Linked DNA regions of Canis lupus familiaris. The protein of the gene in region 2 purifies or fractionates together with the protein of the main gene of each other region. This does not show direct contact. Links are inferred from orthologs where the notes say so. Each region holds a gene or a part of one and is shown on either strand. Other genes may lie near its edges. The genes, in order: CDC42BPB and LURAP1.

The links.
Region 1: the proteins of LURAP1 (region 2) and CDC42BPB purify together in Homo sapiens (co-immunoprecipitation; 3 studies listed by BioGRID and IntAct, with this or other methods). This does not show direct contact. The link is inferred for Canis lupus familiaris from reciprocal best matches to the Homo sapiens genes LURAP1 and CDC42BPB.

The regions. Positions count from the first base shown.
Region 1 is NC_049229.1:71,317,887-71,322,308, forward strand, and holds the start of CDC42BPB (serine/threonine-protein kinase MRCK beta), read right to left. Parts: upstream 3,081-4,422; 5' UTR 3,012-3,080; coding exon 2,837-3,011; intron 1-2,836. UniProt on the Homo sapiens protein: Serine/threonine-protein kinase which is an important downstream effector of CDC42 and plays a role in the regulation of cytoskeleton reorganization and cell migration. Regulates actin cytoskeletal reorganization via phosphorylation of PPP1R12C and MYL9/MLC2.
Region 2 is NC_049236.1:14,262,352-14,266,604, reverse strand, and holds the start of LURAP1 (leucine rich adaptor protein 1), read left to right. Parts: upstream 1-1,440; 5' UTR 1,441-1,550; coding exon 1,551-1,748; intron 1,749-4,253. UniProt on the Homo sapiens protein: Acts as an activator of the canonical NF-kappa-B pathway and drive the production of pro-inflammatory cytokines. Promotes the antigen (Ag)-presenting and priming function of dendritic cells via the canonical NF-kappa-B pathway.

The DNA.
Region 1 (4,422 bases), on a different chromosome or scaffold from region 2:
AAAATAAAACTTCAGAGAAAGACAAATACCATATGATTTAACTCATATGTGGAATTTAAGAACCAAAGTAGATGAACACAGGGGAAGGGAGGGACAAATAAGATGAAGGCAACAAAGAAGGAGGCAAACCATGAGAGTCTCAATCATAGGAAACAAACTGAGGGTTGCTGGAAGGGTAGGGAGTAGAGGGAAGGGGTAAGAGGGTGATGGGCATGAAGGTCATATGATGTGATGAGTACTGGGTATTATATGCAACTGCTGAATCACGAAATTCTACCTCTGAAAATAATTTTAAAATTAATTATCATGTTGTTATAATAAATTTTAAAAAGTAAAAAAAAAACTTAAAAACTTTATTACCTATACTTTCCAAATTGTCTCAAAGATTCCTCAGTAAGTCTCAAAATCTGAACCGAATAGGTTATATTTCTCCATCAAGCTTCAAGATTTCTACCTAATTGTCATTAGACACCTAGTGTCTAATGGAAAGTGGGGAGAAGTTGGCCCTCTGTAAGACAGAACTCCACATTTTGGAGGTTTCAAACACCATGCAGAGTGTGAATCCAAAATTCAGCAACCCCTAGGCTGATAGCTTGTATCTTCTTTTCCAGAGCAGAAGTAATTCCACATGGAAGTCAGGGCACCTGACAATGCTCCACAATTCCACTTGACAGACCACTCTTCACCTTCTGGTTGTAACATGTAGCCATTCTAAGTAATAATAAATAATGACTGTACACATATCTTCATTAGTAACACACCCCTTGCAGAGTTATAATGGTATACATTAAATACTACTTCATATTTTATTAGTAGTATTTAGAAGTAGCATTAATATTTCATTAAAATGCCACTTTAAATCTTGATCCATTTTTCTTCCCTGCAATTTAAGGTTTACATGTCTATGCATATTGAATTGTTAGGCCAATGTAATTCATCTGTGATAATTTTCAAAAAAACAGAATACAATTTCAAAAGTATTTCTAAATTATAGCACACAGCTTCTGTTTCAATTTGGAAAGGTCAAATCTCATACAATAAGAACTCCGCACATGCTGAGAAGAGCTGGCTCCAGTGAAGCCAGCCAGTTCACAGCGTGGCTGGTCCGGTCGGGTGGTTAAGGGGCTACATAAGAACCACCCATGTACAAGGTGTCCAGCTCTGACTTCACCCCAGAGGCCAGCCAGTTGGAGCACACCTCGCCACTCCAACAACCCTCCCTCCACTTCACCTTTCCATCACACTGCTATGCACGCACATAGCGTGCACCAAGTTGAACCTGATTGTGGAACTGTCTGGATTTCGACAGCAACTGCTAAGAAGAGGCAAATACAATATTCAGAAGGTTCAGATGCAACAAGCACCAAAGACCTCATTTTCAAAGCAACTATGAAAATGAGTTATTTGGCTGAAAATCACATCACTGATAAAAGATCCCAGAAAGTGAACACTCGTTTTACTGATATTGTTTATATATAGCCAAGAGCAGTGGTCTCCATTGAAATAAAGCATGATGGGGCTGTCCTGGGGCTCTGGGACTCCTTTCTACTGCGGTTCTCACAAAACATCATTTCGCTAAAAAGCAAAAACAAACCCTGTAAAGAATACCTCAACTTAAATTTTAATTAGTAAACAAATCCTCAAATTCCAGTTACCATTTTGGCAGAGTAAGAGGCCTCACTTCAGAATACATTTGTTTCTTCATTGTAAATATCACCTTTATCAGCCCCAAAGAGCAGAAATTACTGGTTCAAACTGCACAGTCCCAGCCCAATGACGCAAGTGACTCAAGGATAGGTTTGGCCTGAACAGAAGACTCCATGTGCCTACTAGGTCCTTACAGGTGAGCCTGAGGATCTTGACAGGATGCCCATGTTAGTTAGAGATGAAGCGAAAGGCTTTCACTTTGCACCTGTAGCGTCTTCGAGACTCTAAGGATCATAAAATGGCTTAATCAAACTTTTGTCCTAATAAAGCAAAATAGGTTGGCTGATCAATGATTACAGCGCTACGGATCCTTGGACAAACTAGGGAAGGCATGCAAAGATCAGATGAACGAAGTTTTTCAACGATTCCTGTATACTGTCAGTTCCAGCTGCCCCCAAACGTATTCCAAGTCTAGTGCGATTACAATGAAAAGAATCGATCTGCTCTTGCAAAATAAGGCTGTTAACCTGAAAACTCCCTTGGAGCTGCTACGGTAAAGGGTGTTCAAGCCCTGGACATTAACGGGATGGAGCAGGCTGTCACCTAGGAAGGGCCGATAGAACTGGGCTCCCCGGAAACGCACACGCAGATGGGGGGGCCCCACGGGGAGGTGGACACGCGGATGTAAAAATCGCACGCGGCTGCCTCCACCCGCCAGCAAGGCGTGTGCGGGGGCGTGGGGGGGGGGGCTCGACGCTGACTCTGGACCCCAGAGCCGGGGCGGGGGTGGGGGCGGATTTCCCGGGGAGTGCTGCAGGAAATGATATCCAGACTCGGAGGGTGGATCTAGGAAGCGGCCCGGGCGCTGGCCGGCGGCGGGGAGCGAGTGGGGGTGGGAACGGAGGATGTGGCTCCCAGGGGCAGGATGAGGGGGCGGGCCGGCCGAGCGCGGATGCGCCAGGGCCAAGGAGGAGGGCAGGGAGGGACCCCGAGCCTCCAAGGGACGAGGGCGCGAGGAGCGGCCCGGCGGGGCGCGGAGGGGCGGGGAGGGGCGGGGAGGGGAGGGGGCGGCGGTGTGGGGTGCCGGCGAGGCAGGAGGCGCGGAAGGCGGAGAGCGGGCCGGGGAGAGGGCCGAGGGCCGAGGGCGGAGGGCCGGGGGCCGGGGGGCAGGCGGGCCGCGCGCACTTACCCCACTCGAGGAACTCGGCCACATACTTGTCGCGCCGCAGGGCCGAGTGGCTGCACTCGGTGTACAGGCAGACGAGCACGTCGAGCAGCGTCTCCACGCTCAGGGCGCTCTCGTTGCGCCAGGGCCCGTCCAGGAGCAGCTGCTCCAGCTTCTTGAGCCGCACCTTGGCCGACATGGTGCCGCGCGGCCCGCTCCCAACGCGCCGGACTCTCGCCGCCCGCTCGGCCAGGCCGTCAGGGCGAGCCCTCGGGGGCCCGGCGGCCGCGAGCCCCAGCAGCTGCGGCGCCTCGTCGCCGCCCCGTCCGCGTCGTCGCGCCCCGGCCTAGGCCGACATCTTGGGCTCGGTCCCGGCGGCGCAGCGTCTGGGGCGCCGGGCCCCGCGGGTCCATGGGCCGGTCTCCTCCCCTCGGCGCCGCCGCCCGCCCCGCCCGGCGCAGCCCGCCCTCGCCTCGCCTCGCCTCGCCTCGCCTCGCGCCGCCGCCCGCCGCGCGCCCTTCAGCCCCGCCCGCGGCCGCGCCCTCCCCGCCTTCACCGCCCGCCGCGGACCTGGAGCGGCGCGGAGCCGAGCGCAGCGCAAGCCCGGCCGGCGCCCGAGCCCCGACCCCAGCCCCGACCCGGCGGCCCAGCCCCGCGGCCCGCAGCCAACCAGGGCGCGGCCAGCGCGGGCGCAGCCAACCACGGCGGGGCCGGCCGCCGTCGCGCTGACCTCAGCGCGGCGCCCCGCCCCCTGCGCTCCCGGCTCCCGGCTCCCGGCGGGACGGGACCTCGCCGCTTGCCGTAGGGCGTCCGGGATGCTGGGAAGGCCAGGAGAAGGGGGCGGGGCGAGCGCGCGGCCAGTGCGCCGCCGAGATTGCGCGCCCGCGCCTGCGCAAAGGACGCCCGGGCGGCGTGCGCCCGCGCTGCGCGGACAAGCCCCGGGGGTGCGGGCCCCGCGTGGGCGCACGCGCACCCGCGGGGGAGCCCGAGGGACCCGCGGCGGCTCGCGGTGGGGGGCTTCGGCGGCGTGACCCGCTGGCCTAAACGCAGGGCGCGTCCGAGCTCGTAGCAGCCTTGGGAAGCGGAGGCCGACTGGGCGCAGCCCGCTGCAGAGCGGCGACCCACGGGCCGCCCGGCCCCTCGTGAATTCGAGGTGCCCCCCCACCCCCGCGGCTTCTTCAGGTTCCGCTGTGGGTGGGCCTTTGGTAGGCTGTGTCCAGGCCGGGTCTGCCTGGAGATCCCACTGCTTCAGGGAGATTGTTGGTTTATGGGGGGCGGGGGGAGGATGGAGAGCACCCTCACCCAAACAGACCCTCGGAGAGCAGGGCCCGCCCGCACCTCGTGGGTGTCACTGAGCCCACGGGGGTGGCTGGGAGCTGGGAGGGAGGGTGCAGGGCCGTGGGAAGCCTGACCCCGGGGAGGGGCGGGGGCAGAGCAGGTAGACGGTGGAAGACGGGCTCCCTGGCTGCTGCAAGTGTTGTATCATTTTATCAGGTGGTAGCTTTGCAGGAGTGCGTGTAAGCAGCGTTCTTCAAACTACTCCCCTAGGAACATTGTGTATGTTGACCAGACCCGTCTGCAACACGGATCTCTACATCTGTATTTTAATC
Region 2 (4,253 bases):
GGGAAATACAGAGTATAAGTGAGATAAATCATATTGATTGTATTAGGAAGTTGGTAGACAATATTTAAAATTAAGAAATAGTAGTACTGTATAAGCGTATGTGGGGTTATGTGTATAAACACCAGGAAAAAAAAAGCTGAATGTTGTTGCCTCTGGGAGTGGGGCTAGAGGTGGGAAAGGAAAGAGCTGGTTAACTATCTTTGCATTGTAAATCCTTCTGTGACCATGCGCTGGAATTACTTGGATTAAACACCCAAATCAAGCCAAAACAAAAAAGTTTTTTGTGGTTCCCCATGGCCTATAAAATACAACCCAAGCACCATAGAACCATCTTCTATAGCCACATTACTCCAAGTGTGGTCCCTCGATCAGCAACATGGCCGTCACCTAGGAGCTTATTAGAAAAGAAGAACCGCAGGCCCCATCCCAGATCTACAGAATCACAATCTGCATTTTAACAAGGCTTGCAGAAAATTCAAATGCAGTCAAGCTTAAGAAGCATCAGTCTAAAAAAAAAAGGCATCAGTCTACAGGATCAAGCATGATCTGGCCGATCTGGACTTTTTTATCTTCAATACTAGTTGCTTCTCATTGGCCAGAAGTGTTATTTTCTACTTCTTTAATCTAAACTCAGTGGCAGGGCACCCAGCTGGCTTAGTCAGAAGAGCATGTAACTCTTGGTCTCTGGGTCTGCGTTCCAACTCTACATTGGGCATAGAGATTACATTTTTTTTTTAAGATTTTATTTATTTATTTATTTGAGAGAGGGAGAGAGATTTTATTTATTTATTTATTTGAGAGAGGGAGAGGGAGAAGCAGACTCCCTCCTGAGCAGGGAGCCTGATGCAGGGTTCCTTCCATCCCTGGACCCTGGGATCATGACCTGAGCTGAAGGCAGACACTTAACCCACGGAGCTACCCAGGTGCCCTAGAGATTACTTTAGATTAAATGAATAAATAAACTTAAAAAAAATAAATTCCGTGGCTACACTGAAAGTGCATGTGGGTGTCAGTAGCTAGCTAGATTCTAACCACTGTTCTAGACCCAACCCTCCCAACCCTCCCACCCCACCCCAGGAAGCCTTTCAAAACCCTCTGCAGTTCTGGGTCACCACTGTTCCTTAAACTCCCCTATGGCTGAGGGTGCTTAGGCTTTGTTCAGCAAACACTTATCGAACGCCTGCTGTATGCCTGCTGTATGCCGGGCCGGATTCAGTCGGCAGAATGGGGAGAAGGCACTGAACTCTGCTAGCGCTCCTTCAAGTACAAATCCAAGTACATACAGATCGCCCAGCCCCACCCATTCCAGGGCCAGACGTGTGCGCGCAGCACTCGAACACACACACGCACAGGCACAGACACGCACGCACGCCGGCACAGTCTGCGCGGCTTTTCTGAGAGTTACGGTGCCCTCCGCCCGCCCCCGCGCGGCGCGGGCGGGGACCCACCCGTTCCGCTGGGCGCCGGCAGCCGGGAGTCGAGGACCCCCGCGACCCAGCCCCAGCCGGCCGGCCGGCCGGCCGCCCGGTCCTCTTCAGCCGTAGGCCCGCATGGAGGGGACTGCGGAGTCCCAGACGCCTGACCTGCGAGATGTGGAGGGCAAGGTGGGCAGGAAGACCCCCGAAGGGCTGCTCCGCGGGCTGCGAGGCGAAGGGGAGCCGGGAACCTCTGGCGCCCCGCTGCTCCCGGGGGCGCCTGGCGCGGGCCACGGCCTGGGGGACAAGATCATGGCGCTGAGGATGGAGCTGGTGAGTGTGGGCTGCGGGGGCCGGGGCCGGAGTCCCCAGCCGGGTTGGAAGGGACAGACTTATGCCCCCAGAGTTGGGCTGGAGAGGCGAGAGTTAAGACTCCTTACCTAACTCCTCGGGATCCCTCCCAGATCAATCCTTAAACCCCGGGGTTCATTAATTGCCCCTCCCAAAGGTGAGTGGGGCGTTGATGGGTCCTGAAGACTTGAGGTGGGAGGCACTGGCTCCTGGAAGTTTTTCCTACCAAATAATTGGGAGGGGAGAGGTGAGGCTGGGAAGCACTGAGAACCTAGCAGAGCCCAAATCTCTCCCCTCCCCACCCCACCCCTCCACCAGGGGCCATCTCTCCCCTGGCCTCCATTATGGGGCAACCAGTTTCTTCTTTTGGTGCAAACTGGGCCCAGAGTTTGCTCATCTGAGGCCTCAGTGTTCATGACAAGATTCAGCTTGGAAGAGATCTGGGTGAAAACTGCCTGGACTAGAGCCACAAAAAAAACATCCTCCCTTTCCCCAAACCCCCCTCCCCAACCCCCACTTAAAGTACTTGGAAGTTCCTAGAACCCCGGGCATCAGAGTAATAGCACCATCAGCATTGGCTTCATCGCCTCTGAGCCCCCCAGGTATACTGGATTTTTGTATCTCGTACCTTCTTGGGGAGAAGAGAAGGAAACAGGCACCCTCCCCCTCCTTTGTTGCTGCTAGTCTAGATTCAGAGCCAGAAGGGCATTTGGGGCTGCCCAGGCTCCCCAAGGCCCTGGTTCCAGTGAAGGGGGTAATTTACACCTGCCACCACTCTGCAGCCAGTTCTGGGGAACTGAAGAATTCTCTCTGGCTCAGAACCAGGAGGCCACAGTGAGTGTGTCAGCTAATAGGTCTTTCTGGAGCCCACCATCTGCCTAGCTGGGCTGTGAGAGAGCAGAGGAGGGCATGGGGGCTCTTAGGCTGAGACCGGAGCCTTCTGAGCAGAGCAATCAGGGAAGGCTCCTTGGGGGAAGGATTTAAATGCCAAGTGTGTGCTTGGCCCTGAAGGTTGGAGGTAAATACCAAATTCTTCAGAGCAGGCCTGTGACTGCCCACCTGAGGGAGGGGCTTGACTTTGCTTCATCGTATAAAGTGGTGCCAGGCATCATGCTGAGCACTTGACAAAATATTCTCTTACTCCTCACAGCAACCCTATTAGGCAAGTGATATTTTATAGATAAAGAAACTGAGGCACCGAGAGGTTAAGTAACTGCCCAAGGTCGTACAAAAAGTAAAAAGCAGAGCCAGCCTTTGAACTCAGACCATCTGCCTGCACTTTACATCTTTACCATTGAGATCTGCTTTGTGCCACTTTAAAGACTTTAAAGACGCTTTATGTCATTGAAGTGGGAAAAGCAGTCATCGTTCCCCCATCGCGTAGATGAGGCAGGCTTGCCGGTGTTAAGGGGCTCGCCTGGCCTCACACAGGGAACCAGTGGAGGAGCCCTGCCTCTTCTTTGGTTCTGATTCTTTTGCCTTTGATGGAGATTACCTGTCTGTAAACTTTAAAGGGGGTACATTTAACTTCTGATTAGGTCTCTGCATTCTCGACCTAGCCTGGCCTGGGACTCTAGGCTGCCCATGAAGGAGGGGGCCTGCTGGGGGCCAGAACAGGGAAAGGCTCCCTCCCTTATTCCTTTCTCCTTCCTTGGCCAAGATGTCATTGATGTCATTGTGTACTCAGCCCTGCCCACTGTGGGGGCTGGGCAGAGGGTTTCAGTGGCAGAACTGTTCCAAGCTCTCTGAACACAGTCCTTCCAACTGTCCCTCTCCCAGCAATCATGCAGGGAGTGGGCAGTCATGCTCCTAAGGCCAAGGTTATTCCTGCCTCTAGGCTCCTTTTCCTCTTGCTTCCCTCCCCCTCTCCCAGGTTCAGTGAACCAGCCAGACTCTGGGGTTGGTGGGAAGGGAAACAATGGCAACCTCCCCTACTTAATCCTCCTACTCAAACAACTGTTGCTGCGACAACCCACCCTCACAGGGCAACCTGAAAAAAAGCTTTAGGCAAGGAGGGGGATGTCCTGGGTTCAAGTCCTGACTCAGCTTCTGAATTATTTAGAGGTCTTTTTTTTTTTTTTTTTTTTAATTTATTTATGATAGTCACACACAGAGAGAGAGGCAGAGACACAGGCAGAGGGAGAAGCAGGCTCCATGCACCGGAGCCCGACGTGGGATTCAATCCCAGGTCTCCAGGATCGCGCCCTGGGCCAAAGGCAGGCACCAAACCGCTGCGCCACCCAGGGTTCCCCATTTTGAGGTCTTGAGTAGAGCCCTGACTTTCTGTTGATCTCAGTTTTCCTGATTCTTGGAGGATGAAGGGACAGGGGCTTGTGGGACCAGATAGTCCTAGTAACGTTAGTCTGAGAATCTCAATCCTTGGCCAGGGAGCTGAGCCTGGAATCTCCTGGCTTTACCCCAGGGCCTGATTTGGATTGAGCAAGGAGGAAGCCATACTCGTGACCCTGGGACTGAGCAGAGTCTGAT